4 linked regions of the Callithrix jacchus genome follow. Each later gene encodes a partner of the first gene's protein in a complex. Links are inferred from orthologs where the notes say so. Each region holds a gene or a part of one and is shown on either strand. Other genes may lie near its edges.

What was found.
Region 2: GEMIN5 (region 1) and GEMIN4 share a complex: the UniProt entries of both Homo sapiens proteins name them as parts of the SMN-Sm complex. The link is inferred for Callithrix jacchus from reciprocal best matches to the Homo sapiens genes GEMIN5 and GEMIN4.
Region 3: GEMIN5 (region 1) and STRAP share a complex: the UniProt entries of both Homo sapiens proteins name them as parts of the SMN-Sm complex. The link is inferred for Callithrix jacchus from reciprocal best matches to the Homo sapiens genes GEMIN5 and STRAP.
Region 4: GEMIN5 (region 1) and GEMIN2 share a complex: the UniProt entries of both Homo sapiens proteins name them as parts of the SMN-Sm complex. The link is inferred for Callithrix jacchus from reciprocal best matches to the Homo sapiens genes GEMIN5 and GEMIN2.

The regions. Positions count from the first base shown.
Region 1 is NC_133503.1:54,148,342-54,152,654, reverse strand, and holds the start of GEMIN5 (gem-associated protein 5), read left to right. Parts: upstream 1-1,490; 5' UTR 1,491-1,600; coding exon 1,601-1,766; intron 1,767-2,558; coding exon 2,559-2,719; intron 2,720-3,714; coding exon 3,715-3,896; intron 3,897-4,313. UniProt on the Homo sapiens protein: The SMN complex catalyzes the assembly of small nuclear ribonucleoproteins (snRNPs), the building blocks of the spliceosome, and thereby plays an important role in the splicing of cellular pre-mRNAs.
Region 2 is NC_133506.1:63,634,203-63,638,498, reverse strand, and holds the end of GEMIN4 (gem-associated protein 4), read right to left. Parts: exon of another isoform or gene 3,892-4,296; coding exon 725-3,891; 3' UTR 541-724; downstream 1-540. UniProt on the Homo sapiens protein: The SMN complex catalyzes the assembly of small nuclear ribonucleoproteins (snRNPs), the building blocks of the spliceosome, and thereby plays an important role in the splicing of cellular pre-mRNAs.
Region 3 is NC_133510.1:7,425,086-7,429,651, reverse strand, and holds the start of STRAP (serine-threonine kinase receptor-associated protein), read left to right. Parts: upstream 1-1,629; 5' UTR 1,630-1,950; coding exon 1,951-2,062; intron 2,063-2,784; coding exon 2,785-2,920; intron 2,921-4,566. UniProt on the Homo sapiens protein: The SMN complex catalyzes the assembly of small nuclear ribonucleoproteins (snRNPs), the building blocks of the spliceosome, and thereby plays an important role in the splicing of cellular pre-mRNAs.
Region 4 is NC_133509.1:73,778,692-73,783,117, forward strand, and holds the start of GEMIN2 (gem-associated protein 2), read left to right. Parts: upstream 1-1,491; 5' UTR 1,492-1,507; coding exon 1,508-1,644; intron 1,645-2,029; coding exon 2,030-2,114; intron 2,115-4,426. UniProt on the Homo sapiens protein: The SMN complex catalyzes the assembly of small nuclear ribonucleoproteins (snRNPs), the building blocks of the spliceosome, and thereby plays an important role in the splicing of cellular pre-mRNAs.

The sequences.
Region 1 (4,313 bases):
TTCTTCTCAGAAATAGCTAACCCTAGGGCACAAGCTTGTTATAAAGATCGGTTGAAATCGTGTGAAAGCTATTTTATTTCATTTTATCGAGACAGGATCTCTCTCGCGCTCAGGCTGGTGTGCGGTGGCAATGACCTAGTCTCTTTGCAGCCTCGACCTCCCGTGCTCAAGCCACCCTTCCACCTCAGCCTCCCAGTTAGCTGAGACTACAGGTGCACGTCACCACACCTGACTAATTTTTGTATTTTTTGTAGAGACTAGGTTTCGCCAAATTGCCCAGGCTGATCTCGAATTCCTAGGTTCAAATGATCCACCCTCCTCTGCCTCCCAAAGTGCTGGGATTACAGGTGTGAGCCACCAAGCCTAGCCTAAAATCTCTTTTAAACAGCAAATAGTTCAAATATCATGTATGCTGTTCTAATCTCTACTAATCTGGTTGACCTCCAGGAAATGAGTTTATATTCATCGGGCATTTACTGCCATATGTCCGGCAGGTATTTCACCAAATCTCATTTATTCCTCACAGCAATCCAACAAGGCATGGATTATCATTTTCCTTCTTCAAATGAGGAAACATATTTAGGATAGAAGTCTCCCAGCTAACAACTGGCAAACCAGTGATCAATCTGCAGCTAGGGTGTCTCCAAACTCGTGCCCCTAGGTGAAGCCAAATATATGTATTTGACCTCTCTGTATTAATGACGAGTAGTTCAGATTTCGGTTTGCTACATACGCAGGAGTGCCAGATACCCAATGCAAATAAGCAACACACAAGTAGTGCAGAATCTGAGCATTTTAGCATTTTTTAGTTGGAAGGAAACTTTCCTTCACACCATTTACCACATACAGGTTCCTTCACAGAGCTCTCAATCAAGCAAATCGAGTCACTCCATTTGCTTCTCTTTCATCTTTGAATGCCCAGAACCCAGAGCCAGAATTTCCACCCAGTTGCAGAAACTGTTCTTTCCCTTTTTAATTCCAGATTTGTACTTTCATAGTTTTGTTTATTTTTTGAGACAGGGTTTCACTCTGTTGCCTAGGCTCGAGTGTAGTGGCACAATCACAGCTCACTCCAGCCTGTCCTCTGGGCTCCATATTTTTGTTAAGTGGCTCCTTGTGCATACCTTTAAAACACCTCCACACTAGCGAAGTGCCCTGGCACAGAGCGTTCAAAAAACAATGAACGCGTAGTGGTTGAAAAAGTCCAAAGAGTAAACTGGTAGCGTGGGGCAGTGGTTCCACTAGTCTAATCCTCTAATTTTGTGCCTTCCTGTGGAAAGTGAAATGTTTAATTTCGTGGCTGTGCTCAGGCAACATCCGACCCTAGCCAGGGTTGGGGCGGACCTCCTCCGGCGGGCTAGGTACGGAGGGCGGGTCAGTGCAGCGCACGCGGTCAGGCCCCTCCCAGCCCGGCAGCAGCGAGCACGGAACGCGCAGTGCTAACTGGGCCTCGGCGCGCACCGTAGCGACTGCCCGAGAAGGCGGGGCTCGGAGTTTACCCCGCCCCCCCCCGCCTCCTGGCTAAAGCGTGAGGCTGCGAGCGGTCTCTCTCTTGGCTGCTTCTCTTGCCTGCTTCTCTTGGCTCCGACGACCTGTAATTATGGGGCAGGAGCCGCGGACGCTGCCGCCCTCTCCCAACTGGTACTGCGCCCGCTGCAGCGATGCCGTGCCCGGGGGCCTCTTTGGCTTCGCCGCGCGGACCTCCGTCTTCCTTGTCCGCGTGGGCCCGGACGCAGGCGAGAGTCCTGGGACACCTCCGTTTCGAGGTAACTCACCATCCTTGGTCCCGAGCCCTCCTGCCCTTTCTACGCTCCCCAGGGGCGCCGAGTGGAGGTCTCCAGCCACCCTATTTTCTACAGTTAGGGAAACTGAGGTCCAGACTGGGCGAAGAGTCAGCCCACAATCCCTAAACTGAGTTGCTTCTGATCCCCAGAATGAGCTACAGCATGCTGTGGCCGAGCGGTCCCGCCTCCTGGAGCTTCCACGTGGGACCGCTTGCTGACTGAAAAGTTAGCCCTGTACAGTCCCGGCCATTTACAGGGTTCCCCCACCCAGCCCGGTGCACGCCAGCCCCTCGGGAGCCTTCCTGAGGTTGGGGGCTGACTACAGCTGCAGGCCCTATGCATGATCCTTCGACATGTGACATTCATTACTGTGAGATGAATGAGTTGAGCCAGATGTTTTCAGGCTCCAAACTAGGCTTTGATTGTGCCTTGGGATATGACGTGTCAGGTAATTTATTCTGGCCAGATCTCAATAAGTGTCGCTATCACATTATTTGAGCTGCTTTCCAGCCTCTGAACTAAGCACAGCAAGGTATATCAACATTCATTTCACAGTTGAGAAGCTGAGGCTCAAAAAGACTTGTTCGAAGTCACGTGGCACAGCCAATAATGTCAGCACTTGGGAGTTCTGATTGTGAGTCCGTCGGTATTTCGGTTATACCATGGGTTAAGTAACTCCAAAGTATCTGCTCACTCATCATCCAACAGCAGTATGCTTCTGCCAGGAATCTTGGATAGCACTTCGATTAATCTAATGTCTGGTTTTACTTGAAGTCATAGGAGAGTTGGTGGGACACACCGAGAGGGTCTCTGGCTTCACATTTTCTCATCACCCTGGTCAGTACAACCTGTGTGCCACCAGCTCCGACGATGGGACTGTTAAAATATGGGACGTAGAGACAAAAACAGTTGTGACAGAACATGCACTCCATCAGGTACCATGGCTTACTGGTTTCTCAGACCGTTTTTGTATGTCTGTGCTGAGGGTTCTTGGGTTTCAAGCTAGTTTTCCTAGCTCATTTGTGCAAGGTAACTTATAATTGTGTTCATTAATTAGATAAGACTATATTGTAAGCTGTCTCAACTTTTTTTGAAAGGAGATACATACAAACCAGAGGTTGGCAAACTTCTCTGTGCCTATTTTTGCAAATAGGTTTTATTAGAGTAGAACCACACTAATTCATTTAAGTATTGTCTATGACTGCTTTAATGCTGTAAGAATTGAGTAGTTGCAACAGGCATGGTATGACCCAAAACGTCTAAAACAGTTACCCTCTGCCAGGCACGATGGCTCACGCCTGTAATCCCAGCACTTTGGGAGGCCTAAGCAGGTGGATCACAAGGTCACAAGTTCAAGACCATCCTGACCAAGATGGTGAAACCCCATCTCTACTAAAGATAGAAAAATTAGCCAGGTGCTGTGGCAAACACCTGTAATCCCAGCTACTCTGGAAACTGAGTCAGGAGAATTGCTTGAACCTGGGCGGCAGAGGTTGCAGTGAGCTGAGATCACACTGCTACACTCCAGCCTGGGTGAGACTCTGTCTCAAAAAACAACAACAACAACAATTACCCTCTGGTTATTGATATAAATAGACTTCTGATAGAGACTGTAAATGAGTGAATTAAACTCATTTCTAAACTAGATAGTTACTTGATATACCTGCCTTTTGAGAGAACAAGGGAAAAGAAAAACTCACTTAATCTTTGTAAGAACTCTGCATTAAGCTATTTAAAAAATGTTATGATTATTTGATCCCCTGTAGTCTAAATCTTCCCACCATTTTGTTAATATCATGTGGCTCTACAAGTACTACTAAGTATTAACTGCTTTTAATGTATGTACATAGCATTACGCTGGGTTGTGATACAAGTTAAAAATTAAGTAAAATGTTAGCATTGACTAACAAATTTTTGTTTTGTTTTAAAGCATACGATATCAACATTACATTGGTCTCCTCGAGTAAAGGACTTAATAGTATCTGGGGATGAAAAAGGGGTAGTTTTCTGTTACTGGCTTAACAGAAATGACAGCCAGCACCTCTTTATAGAACCCAGGACAATTTTCTGTCTTACTTGTTCACCTCATCATGAAGATTTAGTAGCCATTGGGTAAGTACTGTGCCATCTGTACTGAAGATTTTTGTTTGTGTATGATCATGTTTTGCATTTTCTTTACCTTCTCCTGTCCTTTTATTCCTCAAAGAAAACCATCTACAGTTGTTAACCAGTCACCCTGACCCCTTAGCATCATTTATTCCTCCAGGTCCTTACTGACTCTGCCAGTCCGTTTTTGTTTCCTTGGTTTTCCATGGTACTGTACTTTCTTGGTTCTTCATGTCCAACTCCTGTAGTCAACCTTTAAATGTAGGAAGCGTCCTCTTTCACCTTTTTCACTTTCTGTGCTGCCTTTTGATATAACATGAACTCCCAGGTGTCAGATGACTTTGCTCAGTTTGTCTGGTTCTGAGCACTCCGTCTAGATTGGGAAAGCAGTGTGACATTGGGATCCATTTCCCCATTGATCAA
Region 2 (4,296 bases), on another chromosome or scaffold:
TTTAACTTTCAGCTTATTTGCCAAAATCAAGGATGGAAAAGTCAAGTTATGGCCAGGTGCGGTGGCTCATGCCTGTAATCCCAGCACTTTGGGAGGCCAAGGCGGGTGGATCACGGGGTTAAGAGATCAAGACCGTGTAATCCGAGCACTTTGGGAGGCCGAGATGGGTGGATCACAAGATCAAGAGATCGAGACCATCCTGGCCAACATGGTGAAACCCCATCTCTACTAAAAATACAAAAATTAGCTGGTCGTGGTGGTGCGCGCCTATAATCCCAACTACTCAGGAGGCTGAGGCAGGAGAATTGCTTGAACCCAGGAGGCGGAGGTTGCAGTGAGCCAAGATTGCGCCACTGCACTCCAGCTTGGCACCTGGCAACAGAGCATGACTCCGTCTCAAAAAAAAAGAAAAAAAAGGAAAAGTCCAGTTATGAACATGTTCCTCTGGGCTGAATTGAATCTCGAAGACACTAAATTCAATTTCAGAGCATACATAATCAATCCTGGGCTATTGCTGCAGCAGACTTAGACAAAGAGAGATGCAAAAGAGAATGTTTATTATAGTTTGTACATTATAAATGTACCTAAGAAATTATTTTCTTTATACCATTATTGCCATGATTTCCTGTGGACAGTTTAACGCAGCTGTAAAGTCCATGCTGTGCAGGTCTGACCCCTATGGATCTGCCATATTTAGACCCAGCTTTTCTGCTATGGGCCAACGTCAGAAGCTGCTGATCTTTTGCAGCAGGGTCTGACGCCGCCCTTCGGGGCTGATGTTCTCAGCAATGGACTTCAGGAAGTGCTGCTCGTTCACCTTCTGGAGCAAGGAGCTGACAGAAGGGTTGGCCTTGCTCAGAGTCTCATAGCAAGTGAGAGTTTCCAAGGCTAAAATATACAGTGGCTCACAGACCTCCTGGCGGAGCATGGCCATGATGTGCAGAGCATGACAGAACACCTGGGTGTAGACAAACAGAGCTTCCTGGGTCAGGTCCTGCTCTTGTCCCTGCGCCCAAGGGCCAACTGACTGTATCAACCTGACTGAGTCCAGGAGGCTGGTCAGACTGCCACACAGGAGTCTGACCACATGGTTCCAGCCTTCCAGAGGAAGCCAATTTTGACAACTCTGGCTACAGAGAAACTGGAAAGCCCTCAGGAAGAGTACAGAGAGCTGGAGCTCCTGGGCGAAGGGCTTCAGGTTGAGCAGAGGAACAAACTGAATATACTCCAGGCTATATGGGACATGGAGCAGCTGTTTCTCCAGCAGCCTCCTGGTCAACTGCTGAAGGTGTTGCCACTCCTGAGGGCTGCACCAAGGCATGACTTGCACCAGGGCCACCAGAAATCCTTTGCTGAACAACCTGACCTCCTCAGGACTACCCACGTTGACCACCAACAGAGACAGCATCCTCTCTGAGAGGGTGCTGGAGATGCAGGAGCACTCCATCCAGGCCAGGAGCCCTGTGCCTGGCCCATACCCTTGGTGGGCCTGGGAGGTCCACTCATCCTCAGAAAGCTTACAGATCTCAAAAAGTGTGGCTGGCACCTCACACTTGAAGTGTCCTTCAAAAAAGGTCTTCAGTCTGAGGCCCACAGTCCAGTCAAGCTCTTCTGACTTGCGGTGGAGCCAGGACACGGACTTGATCCAGGCGTCTGGGGAGAAGGTCTCGGCATTGGCTAATAAAATCTCACACAGGAGCTCCAGGATATGGGCCGCCAGATCCTTCCTCTCCAAAGACAAACGCCGCTTCTCCTTAGGGAGCTGCCAGTACTTGCTGAAGCTGTCCAGGAGCTGGCACAAGCTGAAGAGGAGTGGGAATGGGGAGCAGGCCTGGAGCCAGTATTCCTCCAGGCATGCATTTGCTTCTAGAGTCTGGAGGAAGATCTTCAGACTGAGGTCCACCTCTTCAATATCTAACATCAAGAATGACAGGACAAATTCCTTCAGCACCTCATCTGGCTCAAGCAGAGCAGCCACTGGAATCCCCTGGGGCTTCACAGGATTCATCAGGCAGTTCAGGAGCTCCAAAAATTGCTTTTCCTCCTTGGGTGTAGAGAACTTTGCCCAGACAGTTTCTCTGAGGCACGACACCATGAAAGTGGTAGATGAATTTGGACCCTGCTCTTCTATGAACCGAAGAGCGGGGAAGGCTGTGAGAATCTGGGCCAGGAACTTGTGGGTGCCAAGATTGACCACAGCCAGGCTGCAGATTTTCTTCACTGTGGCTTCCGGGTGCACTATCATCAGGCGGGCCACGGAGGCCACAGCTTTTGCCAAGCCCTGCTCGGAGGCACTCTGAGCGAGCTTGTTTAAGGTTGTATTGAGGTCTTCCGGAAAACTCTCCACATAGGTCAGCAACGTTTCAGATAGGCCCCTTTTCCCCCAGGAATGCAGGATGCCTGCAAGGACTTTGTTTTTGTCTGGCAGGGAGAGGTCTGTGTAACATTCCAGGACCAAGTGGAGCACTTGCTGGATCTGAGGCTCGGGGACTGCTCTGTCAGTGGTGCTGGCACCTAGCACTGTTTCCAGCAGCCTCAACACCAAATCTGGCTCCCTGAAGAGAGCCCTGTTACTCACCAGGCAGGCTACCCACTCGTCTGAGAAAGCCCACTTCTTCTCAGAAGCAAAAATGTAGCACATTTCCATGTGACGGTTCATCTTCTGCTGGATGATGGCCATGGCAATGGAAGCCGTGATGTCCTGGGAGCCCCTGTTCTTCAGTACCCTGCTGGTTTTCCTCAGGAAGTCCCTGACACACACTGCCAGCTCAGAGGCCACCTGCCTCTCCTCCTCGGGCAGGCTGGCGCGGTTCAAGTAGAGCGCCAGGTTCTGGCTGAAGGAAGTCAGACTGTCGCACAGCCGGTAGCTGTCATAGCTTGTGCCCTGGCTGCTGCAGAGCATGGCTTGCAGCTCCTCCCCCCACTCCCCCAGCAGGGCGTGCATCAATTCCAAGCCGGCAAAAATCGTCTCACTGGGGAGTTTGGCCAGTGAGGTCAGGCTGACATCCCGTTCTGCCTCCTTGACCTTCTCTGCCAGTGCCTGGTGGTGGTACAGGTTCTGGGTGTCTGAGTTCCACACAGAGATCACTGTGGCCAGTTTGTCCAGATACACAGTTGCAGACACCTCCTGGGGGTCGTCCTCGGTCAGTGCAAACACGCTCAGCATGTCGGCCAGGTTGGCCAGTGCACAGCACTTTCTCCCTGGGCCCAGGATCCGACCCTGGATCTGCATCAGCCCACGAAGCAGCATGGCCAACAGAAGCATGGTGGGGCACACGTCTGGCTCTGACCTCAGCCTCTTGGGAGGATGGGGGAACTCTTCTAAGACAGGCAAGTACTTATGGACCATTGCGCTGAACTGGGAGAGCAGGGGATCCTGTGGATTACCCCGGTGCTTCATCATTTCCCACCAGACATCCAGGAAGAAGGCCACGTCCTCAGAGGACGTGTCAATGCTCACGTGCTCCAAAAAGCGCTCGAGTTCTGCACAGCAGACAATGGCAGGCAGGGCCATCAGGAGCTCGATAAAGAGTCCAGAAGCTTCTAGGGACTTGAGCAGCTCAAACAGGACGGTGTGATTGAGGGTGGGGATCATATTGCCCACTGAGAAGAACACATCTTCCTGCCACCGAGTGTCCGTGTCAGAAGAGGTCACAGGCTGAGGCTGCAGAACCTTGGCCCAGATGATGATCAGAGCTTTCTTCTTCCAGGCAAAGGGCTGGGAATGCGCTGCTGCGGAGGAGATCTCCTGCAAGGCCTCCACAATGGGCCGCCCAACGTGCTCCCAGTCAGACTTGGTCAGTTCTGTCAGAGCTCTGGGGTGGAACAGCTGCTCAGCCAACAGGAAGCCTCCGTGCAGAATAGTCATTTCCTCACAGATGTTCAAGGGTCCTGCACAGAGAAGCCAAGTAAGACAGTATAATGCGAACGTCTCAAGACAGTCACTGCAGTTAGGAGGCTGTCAGGGTTAGAGATGATGAGGGTTTTAGACATCCACGAAGGGGAGAAGAAGGGATGGCCACCAGAGCCACTGCAGGGCTGGAGGCAGGACTGAGCTGAGGAATCCAGAATGACTTCCAAGCTCTCTAGAGTGGGAACTGGGAGGACCCCGGGTGGCGTCACATACAGGGAAGGAGGAGAATCGGAACAGGTTTGAGAAGAGACAAGCTTGATTTTGGCTATCAAGGCACAGATGTTCTCCAGCAGTGGAAATGCCCCATGCAAGTTGAAGAGAAAAGCCAGCTGGGAAATGTGATTCTGGATTTTGGCTATCGAGGAGATGTCCTTCAGCAGTTG
Region 3 (4,566 bases), on another chromosome or scaffold:
AAATCCAAGAAATCAGAAGAGCTCCTGGGATGATGGCAGATGGGAGGCAGGACTAGACTGCAGCTCCAGACAGAGCAGGATACAGAGGTTTGCACTGTGAATTTTAGCTCCAGATTGATTGTAAGAATAAACTAGCAATCCCAAGAGGAACTACAGACCCTCTGAAGGAAGTGGACTGCTCCTTTAGGACCCTGGAGACCCCCAAACACTGTGAGAGCCCCAACTGTGGAAGTGGGAAAAAGAGATCCTCCTCTCCCGACTACACACTCACACTGGAGAAGCTGAAGGTCTGTTTATGGGAGAAGTTTCTGACTTTACCTGGAGCTGAGTCAAGTTAGAGAGCCGAGTGAAATACGGGGTAGAGGAAGCAGCGGAAAGGCCTTGGGAGCTCACTGGGTCCCCAAGCGGCCCATTCCTGCCTGGGACCACAGGGATCCATTGGAAGAGTGGCCAGGGGAGCAGATGGCAAAACTCCACAGGAAGAAGGAATCTGTAGCTGAACTTTGTAACAATGTGAACTGGGCAAGAAGCCTGGCCAGAACTTGGGGGACTGTGCGAATCTGGCTTGCACACTACACAGGCAGGGGAAGAACTAAAGCCCTTTTCTTTTGCAGCTGGGAGGTAGATAGCATCAGGCAAATTTTCAAGCCTGTCTCACCCTCCACCTGGAAACAGACTCCGGGCTGTTGCAGGGTCACAGTGGGAATGAGACCAGCCCTTTGCTTTGCATGGGATCTGAATGAGGCCTGTGACTGGGGGCTTTCTCCTACTTCCCTGACAACCTGCATGATTCAGCAGAGGCAGCCATAATTCTCCTGTATACACAATCCCAGTAGCCTGGGAATCTCACGCCCATTCCCCACAGCACCCGCAACAAGGCTGCCCAAATAGAGTCTGAGCTCAGACACACCTAGCCCTGCCCCTACCTGGTGGTCCTTCCCTATTCACCCTAGTCAACCAAGGAAAAAGTAACTTGAATTTGAACCGCGTTTAAAAGCACATAGTATCGACGCCTACAACACTAGCAACACAAAATTGACACAGCAGGAGATGGCTGGGGAATTTGTTTTTTAAGATAGGGTCTCGCCCTGTTGCTGAGGCCGGAGTGCAGTGGCCGACCGCTCGGGCTCCAGTAATCCTCTCACCCCAGCCTCCCAGGTAGGTGGGACCACAGGTGGCACCACGTCAAGCCCGTATGCAGTCTTTACATAAGACAAATTGCAAAAAATGTTGCTAGACAGTGTTCGCTAGTTTGGGCCGTCGGTGGGAACGGCTCCAGTGTCCGTCTAGATGATCAGATGCCGGGGACAGTCCTCAGCGGGGCTGCTCGGCGGGCACAGAGCAGCCGCTGGCCCATGGGCTTATGGGAGTGGGAACGGCTTTTAACTCGGCCGCGAGCGGGGAAGGCGTTCTGACCCGCTAGAGCTCGGGGCGAGGGACCCTACCCGCTGCCTAGAGCGCCTCTAGGCGCCTGCCGTAGCCGGCGCGGGCCGGTGCTAGCGGTCCGATAAGAACTCAACCGGCTCCTGCACCTCCCTGTACTTCTCGCTGCTTCTTCCAGTCACTTCTACCCCGCGAGTCGGCCCGCCCGCCAATCGTCACTTCCGGCGGGTGCTGCGCATTATTTACGTCGTCACTTCCTGTCGATGCCGGTGTGGACGCTGTGAATCGTGGCTGGGTCGGTTCTCCGCTTCTCCCCGTCCCCTACTTTCCTCCCTCCCTCCCTTTCCCTCCCTCGTCGACGGTCGCTCGCCCGTCGCAGACTCCCGGACCCCACCCTCACCCCTTCCTAACCTCCGTGCCACCGGATTGCCCTCCTTTTCCTGTCTCCCAGCCCAGCCCCAGTGTCAGGGCGGGGGCCTGGAGGAGCCGGAGGCGCTGCAGCAGACGAGAGAAAAAGACAACGACGACCCTCGGCTCTCCAGTCCGGTAGCCGCACTCGCCGCCGCCATGGCAATGAGACAGACGCCGCTCACCTGCTCTGGCCACACGCGGCCCGTAGTTGATTTGGCCTTCAGTGGCATCACGCCTTATGGGTATTTCTTAATCAGCGCTTGCAAAGGTGAGCAAGGCCTCTGATCCTTGTCCCCGATCGCTGGGACTGGGCTGAAAGGGATTGGGACCCGCACGCTCCAGTGCCGAAGCGCGGGGTTGGCGGGGGCGGGGAGGGAACGCTATTAACCTCCGAAGTGAGGGCCAGCACTGGAAGTCCGGTGGAGAAAGCAATGTGTTCGAGAATCCGCAACTGGAGCCGAGAGACCTCTGGACGCTTTTGTAGAGACTGTTACCTCCAACTAAGACCCCTCTCGTTGTTTTCTTTTTATTGCTATTTTTGGAGGAGCTGGACAGCACTTGCCTGCACTCTCGGGACAACGTTGTAAATAGCTTTCAAGGATTTGGGGAAAGGAGAAATTAGGCCAGGCCGTGAAATACTTAACAAAGACGTTCGCTCTTGTCTCACTGGATATTCCTTTGTGGCATTAGCCTTATTTTTCAGATGGGAAACTGAGATTTAGGCTAAGGTGTTTGTCCAAATTAAGAGTCAAATCTAGATTGTTTTGACGCAGATCAGCATTCCCACCGAATTACAGATGCTTTTCAGAGAGAATGGTCTGTTCGGCTCTCAGTTAATTTATTTCTGGACGTTCCTTGGTGACTTCAATGGGCGGTTAAATAGTTGAAACGATTTTTCCACTTTGTCATTGAACATCATTGTATATTTACATTTGCATCTTAGACTTTAATCTGAACTTTAAATCACATGTCTTAAAAAATATTTTCTAGATGGTAAACCTATGCTACGCCAGGGAGATACAGGAGACTGGATTGGAACGTTTTTGGGTCATAAAGGTGCTGTTTGGGGTGCAACACTGAATAAGGATGCCAGCAAAGCAGCTACAGCAGCTGCGGATTTCACAGCGTAAGTGTAGCCAAGATGGCTAACGTCGGTGTTCTCTGTAGATTGTGTCCAGAAATAATGAAAAAGTTCAACCTCAGATATTCATAGAATTCTGAATCACTGGCTGCTATGTAGAATGCCAGATGTTTGAGCTCACCAAAATTCCACTGTGGTCCTGTGTGCTTGTTTTCAGTGGTTCTCAAAATTTTCAGAGGCTTAAATGACTTATTCCTTATGTTTTGATTAAGACTCAGGAGCCTGCATGAACAAACACTCCAGATGATGAATATTGATCTCCTTTACGAATGCTGCTCTGTGTGTACTCCTTAGTGAAATCCTACATGGGTGGCCTTAGGTTTTTATCTCAATCCCAGTTTTTGTTAGCTTGCTTTAGGCATCACTAACACTCATTGTGTCAAACAAACAAAAACAAAAAAACTCAACTTCTCTTCATTTCCTAAGTTTTTGAAGGTTGAAATGTAAAACATTCTTGATTTTCCCTTACATCTAGATTATCATCATCTTTTTTTGATTCTGCCACTGGGATGTCTCCTGATTACAGTGTTCCTCCATGTAGTATCTGCTGCTGCCTTAGTTCACAATCATTTTTAACTTTCTTCCAGTAGTTTCTTTTCCTCCTCTTCATATTCCATATTGTTGTCAGTTGTTTTCCTAAAAACATGTTTGATCATGTCACTTCTCTGCCTAATGATTTTCCTGTCTTCCCTTTGCCATTTTAGTATTTTGTGACCTTTGATATACATTAGAATACCAGGAGAGCTTTTCAAATATTCAAATGTATGTGTCCCAGAAACTCGGATTTAAAATTTTTTTTGGGTTTTTACTCTCTCTCTATATATATACTTTTTGCTACATGTAAAAATACTTTTTAATGCTTTTTACTGTATAGACACTAGCTGTGTTTCCCAGGCTGTCTTAAAACTCTTGGCCTCCATGCCTCAGCCTCTCAAAGAACTGGGGTTACGGGGTGAACTGCCATGCCTGGCACAGACCTTCTGGTTTGATTGGTCTGAGGATGGAGTACTGATCATACTGATCAGTGGTGGTTTTTTTTCTTGCCTTTCTTTCCTGTGTGCAGCCTTAGAAGCACGGACCTGAAGGACACTTCAGTTGTTGACACTTTACAGTTCGCTTCATCCTAGTTCTTCAGCATCATCTTCTGGCCCTGCACACCATAAACCCTACAATCTAATTATACTACACTTACTGTTGCCAGAATATACCTTACCTGTGCTGACTTTTGACTGTTAATGATGTTACTAAACTGACTGGCAGTGGCCCTCTTTGCCTTTTTGGGAATGTATAATGTTTTATAAATCTTGTTATTTCCAGTTCCTACCTGGTATTTGTAACTTAGGAATTTGACACTTGATTGTTTAAACTGATGAAGGCAATATCAAGAGCTGTTGTACATACACAGATTTATTAGACTTAAGAGGCTGGAGAGTACAAGTATTATTGGTTATTTATTATTTATTATTTATTTATTTCATTTATTATTTTTGAAACAGAGTCTTGCTCTGTGCCCAGGCTGGAGTGCAGTGGCGCAATCTCGGCTCACTGCAATCTCTGCCTCCCAGGTTCAAATGATTCTCCTGCCTGAGCCTCCTAAGTAGCTGGTTCTACAGGTGCATGCCACCATGTGT
Region 4 (4,426 bases), on another chromosome or scaffold:
TATAAAGACACATGCACATGTATGTTCATTTTGGCTCTGTTTCCAATAGCAAAGACCTGGAACCAATCCAAATGCCCATCAGTGATAGACTGGACAAGGAAAATGTGGCACATATGCACCATGGAATACTATGCAGCCATAAAAAAGATGAGTTCCTGTCCTTTGTAGGGACATGGATGAATGTGGAAACCATCGTTCTCAGCAAACTGACACAAGAATAGAAAATCAAACACCGCATGTTCTCACTCATAGGCTGATGTTGAACAATGAGAACACATAGACACAGGGAGGGGTGCATCACACACTGGGGTCTGTTGGGGGGGAATAAGGGAGGGACAGGGGAGGGGAAGGAGTTGGGAGGGATAACATGGGAGAAATGCCAGATATAGGTGATGGGGGATGGAGGCAGCAAACCACATTGCCTTGTATGTACCTGTGCAACAATCCTGCATGTTCTGCACGTGTACCCCAGAACCTAAAGTGCAATAAAATATATATATATATAATTTTTAAAAAAAGCTAAGGACTATCCTGTTTAATTTTTTTATCTTCAACTTAAACTTACATCCTTGTTTGAAATCGATTCCTTGCAACCTAAAAACAGTGCTAAAATATAAACAAATTTTTTTAAAAACCTTCGAAAAGAAATATAAATTTTAGAAAAGTCAATTGTATTCACTCAATTGTATTTGTTTAGAAATAATCAGATATAATACTTGTTTCTTGCACATTCTTGCCCTGTTTCCTCACCTGTGAAATGGAGATGATACTATCTACCTAACAAGATTGACCTAACATTTTTGTTAATTTCTGTATGTTAGCATTAGCTTCATATTTTTCACTATTTGTATTTAAACGAAGATATTTTTCTTCAAAAAAAATAAAAAGTGCTGGCTATTCTAGGAGTAATACTCATTCCAAATAAACATACAGTGATCTTTGAAGTGGTCAAGCACTAGATATTCCTGTAGAAAATTAATTTTTCTTTCATTTGGCATCGGATAAGCGTATGTTGGAATTGGTGTCTTCCCCTTTGGGAGAAGCTCAGTCCCTCCCCTAACAGAGTATTACTCCCCACTTTACAAGATTGTTTTAAGAATCAAGTGAGAAAATGTGTGTGTTTATGTCGGGGTTAAGAATTTAGAGCTCCAAGAATGATAATTACAGTAATACTGTTCATTAATTCAAAAACCATTTTTAAGGATCCTTCACTACTAAGGATGCATAAAAGTTGCTAACCCTCGGCCTTTGCCCAGCGTGAGAAGACAAAACAGGGAGTAAAAGACCAGAAACGCGTTCGAACCAATTCAGCTAGGAATTAAATTCTCAGATCCTTTATTACACCACCGGAGCCTTAACCTTGAGGCAAGCAGCAGTCTGTTCATGCGCAGTTAACGCTCCCTAAACTGCCATTGCTCAGCTCCGCGCCCAAGGTTCCTACTTGTGCGCCTGCGCCGTGACCTAGAGTGGGCGCATGCGCTGAGTGGAGCTGGCTGGTTTGAAAACCATGGCGTGGGTACCAGCCGAGTCCGCTGTGGAAGAGTTGATGCCTCGGCTATTACCGGTAGAGCCCTGCGACTTGACGGAAGCTTTCGATCCCTCGGTACCCCCGAGGACGCCTCAGGAATACCTGAGGCGGGTCCAGTGAGTGATTTGGCCCTGGGCGGGTGGGCTGGTCGTCTGCCCTGCCCCGGGGTACAGCCCCTGGTGCCCCTCTCGACCTGCGTTCTATAAAGTCCTGTTTCTTCCCGTTCCAGTCTCTTGCGAGTTCGGGTCTGTTCAGGATTCTGGATTACATTCTTACGTGGGCGAGTTTCTGTTTAACATGATTGAATGTACCAAGATGTGTGATCTTAGATTTGTTTTCAATCCAGATAATTTCAGAAATATATTCTTTAGTACGTCAAGTGGAAGTCTGAATTTTTTTTTTTAATTTCACAATCAACTATGGAAATGGATCGCTCGTTTTACTACACCTGAGCAAAGCACAATAGAAATTTAATTTCTTGCATTTATTACTTATTTGTAGGATCGAAGCAGCTCAGTGTCCAGATGTTGTGGTAGCTCAAATTGACCCAAAGAAGTTGAAAAGGAAGCAAAGTGTGAATATTTCTGTGAGTTATTAACCGTCTGGAGATTACCCCCAACCCCTCAATTAAAAGACTAAGGCTCTTCCTATAGTATCCGACAGTATCAATTATGGTGTAAGTAAGATTTGACTACTCCCTTCAAAGATAGACATTCGCTTGTACTTTTTCCTCCAGAAAGGCAACTGGCATTTACAGCCTCTGAAGAGGTTTTCTGTAACTCTAGCATTTGTGGAGCTTGCCCATCTTTCTTCAGGGACACTATCCAATCCTTTCAAAGGAGTCTTTAAATGGGTTACTTAGGCTATCTTCTATTTTTTCTTGTTTGTTTATAGAGAGGGAGTCTCTGTTGCCAGCTGGTCTGGAACTCCTGGCCTCAGGCTGTCTTCCCGCTTCTGCCTCCCAAAGTGTTAGGATTACAGGCTTCAGCCACTGTGCCTGACCCCTTTATTTATTTATTTTTTGAGACAGAGTCTTGCTCTGTCACCCAGGCTGGAGTGCAGCAGCAGGATCTCGGCTTACTGCAAACTCCTCCTCCCAGGTTCAAGCTATCCTCTTGCCTCAGCTTCCCAAGTAACTGGGATTACAGGTGCCTGCCACTACGCCTGGCTAATTTTTGTATTTTTAGTAGAGATGGAGTTTCACCATGTTGGCTAGGCTGGAACTCCTGAACTCAGGTGATCTGCCCACCTCGGCCTCACAAAGTGCTGGGATTACAGGCGTGAGCCACCGCACTGGGCCCTCCTTTTTTTTTTTTCCTAAGGAATCTTTTTCCAGTTACTAGATTGGTGTTTAATCCTATTGTGCTTTGTGTGTTCTGAATTTGATAAAGTTCCACTTTTTGTCAAAATAGAAACTCAGATATCTTACACTTTTACAGCTACTTGCACACTGTGGACATTTTCGTTTATTTATTTATCCAGCACATTTTTAATTAAGGGACTACGTTGTGCCAGGCACTGGGAATGTAACAGAGGATAAGATAAAAAAGGATCCTACCCTTGTAGACAGAGAGTAAACAGGCAAACAAATAATTACATGTTGTGACTATTGCTATGAAGAAAATAAGCATATGTAATAATCAATAAATGACAGAACTACTGTAGATAGAGGAATCACAGAAGGTCTTTCTTCCCTCCCCCCCCCCTTTTTTTTTGAGTCTTGCTTTTTCGCCCAGGCTGGAATGCAGTGGTGTGATCTTGGCTCACTGCAACCTCCACCTCCCGGGTTCAAGAGAGTCTCCTGCCTCAGCCTCCTGAGTAGCTGGGATTACAGGTGTGTGCTACCACACCTAGCTAATTTTTGTATTTTTAGTGGAGATGGGGTTTTACCATGTTGGCCAGGCTGGTCTTGAACTCCTGACCTCAAGTGATCTGCCTGCTTCAGCCTCCTAACGTGTTGGGATTACAGGCGTGAGCCACCACGCCTGGCCAGCGAAGGTCTCTCTAAGGAGGTGCTATTTAACCTAAGCTTAAAGGAGGTGGCATTTTAAATTGTTGATAGTAATTTCCTTTTCATGTTGAAAGTAATTTCTCTATCTGATATTTATAATCAGAAAATTTTAATTCAGACACTATAATGTTTCCTGTAATTCCTCTTCAGGATTTTTTAGTTGATTGATTTATTTTTTTGAGACAGAGTCTTGCTCTGTCACCCAGGCTGAAGTACAGTGGCACGGTCTCGGCTCATTAGTTGATAGACATTTAATGGAACAGAATGTCTTATATACCTAATTTGATAGATGGATGGATTGATTGAAACGGTATGTCTCTCTTTTTGTTTCTGTTTGATATTCTAGAAAGGCAGGTAGGACTAGATCATATCCTCTGGGCTAACGTCATTTAGATTTCATAGAAACTCCAAGTATAGGGCCGGGCGCGGTGGCTCAAGCATGTAATCCCAGCACTTTGGGAGGCCGAGGCGGGTGGATCACGAGGTCAAGAGATTGAGACCATCCTGGTCAACATGGTGAAACCCCGCCTCTACTAAAAATATAAAAAATTAGCTGGGCATGGTGGTGCGTGCCTGTAATCCCAGCTACTCAGGAGGCTGAGGCAGGAGAATTGCCTGAACCCAGGAGGTGGAGGGTGCGGTGAGCCGAGATCGTGCCATTGCACTCCAGCCTGGGTAACAAGAGTGAAACTCTGTCTCAAAAAAAAAGAAACTCCAAGTATAAGCCTTTCCAGATTTCTCTTATTAAATTGACTAAGGCTCTTTCCCTAATGTTTTTAACTGGGATATAAATAAATAGAAAAGTGAAATGTCTACTTTTTTACATCTGTAAGAAATATTTTCTTTCTTTCTTTTTTTTTTTTTTTTGCAACGGAATTTTGCTCTTG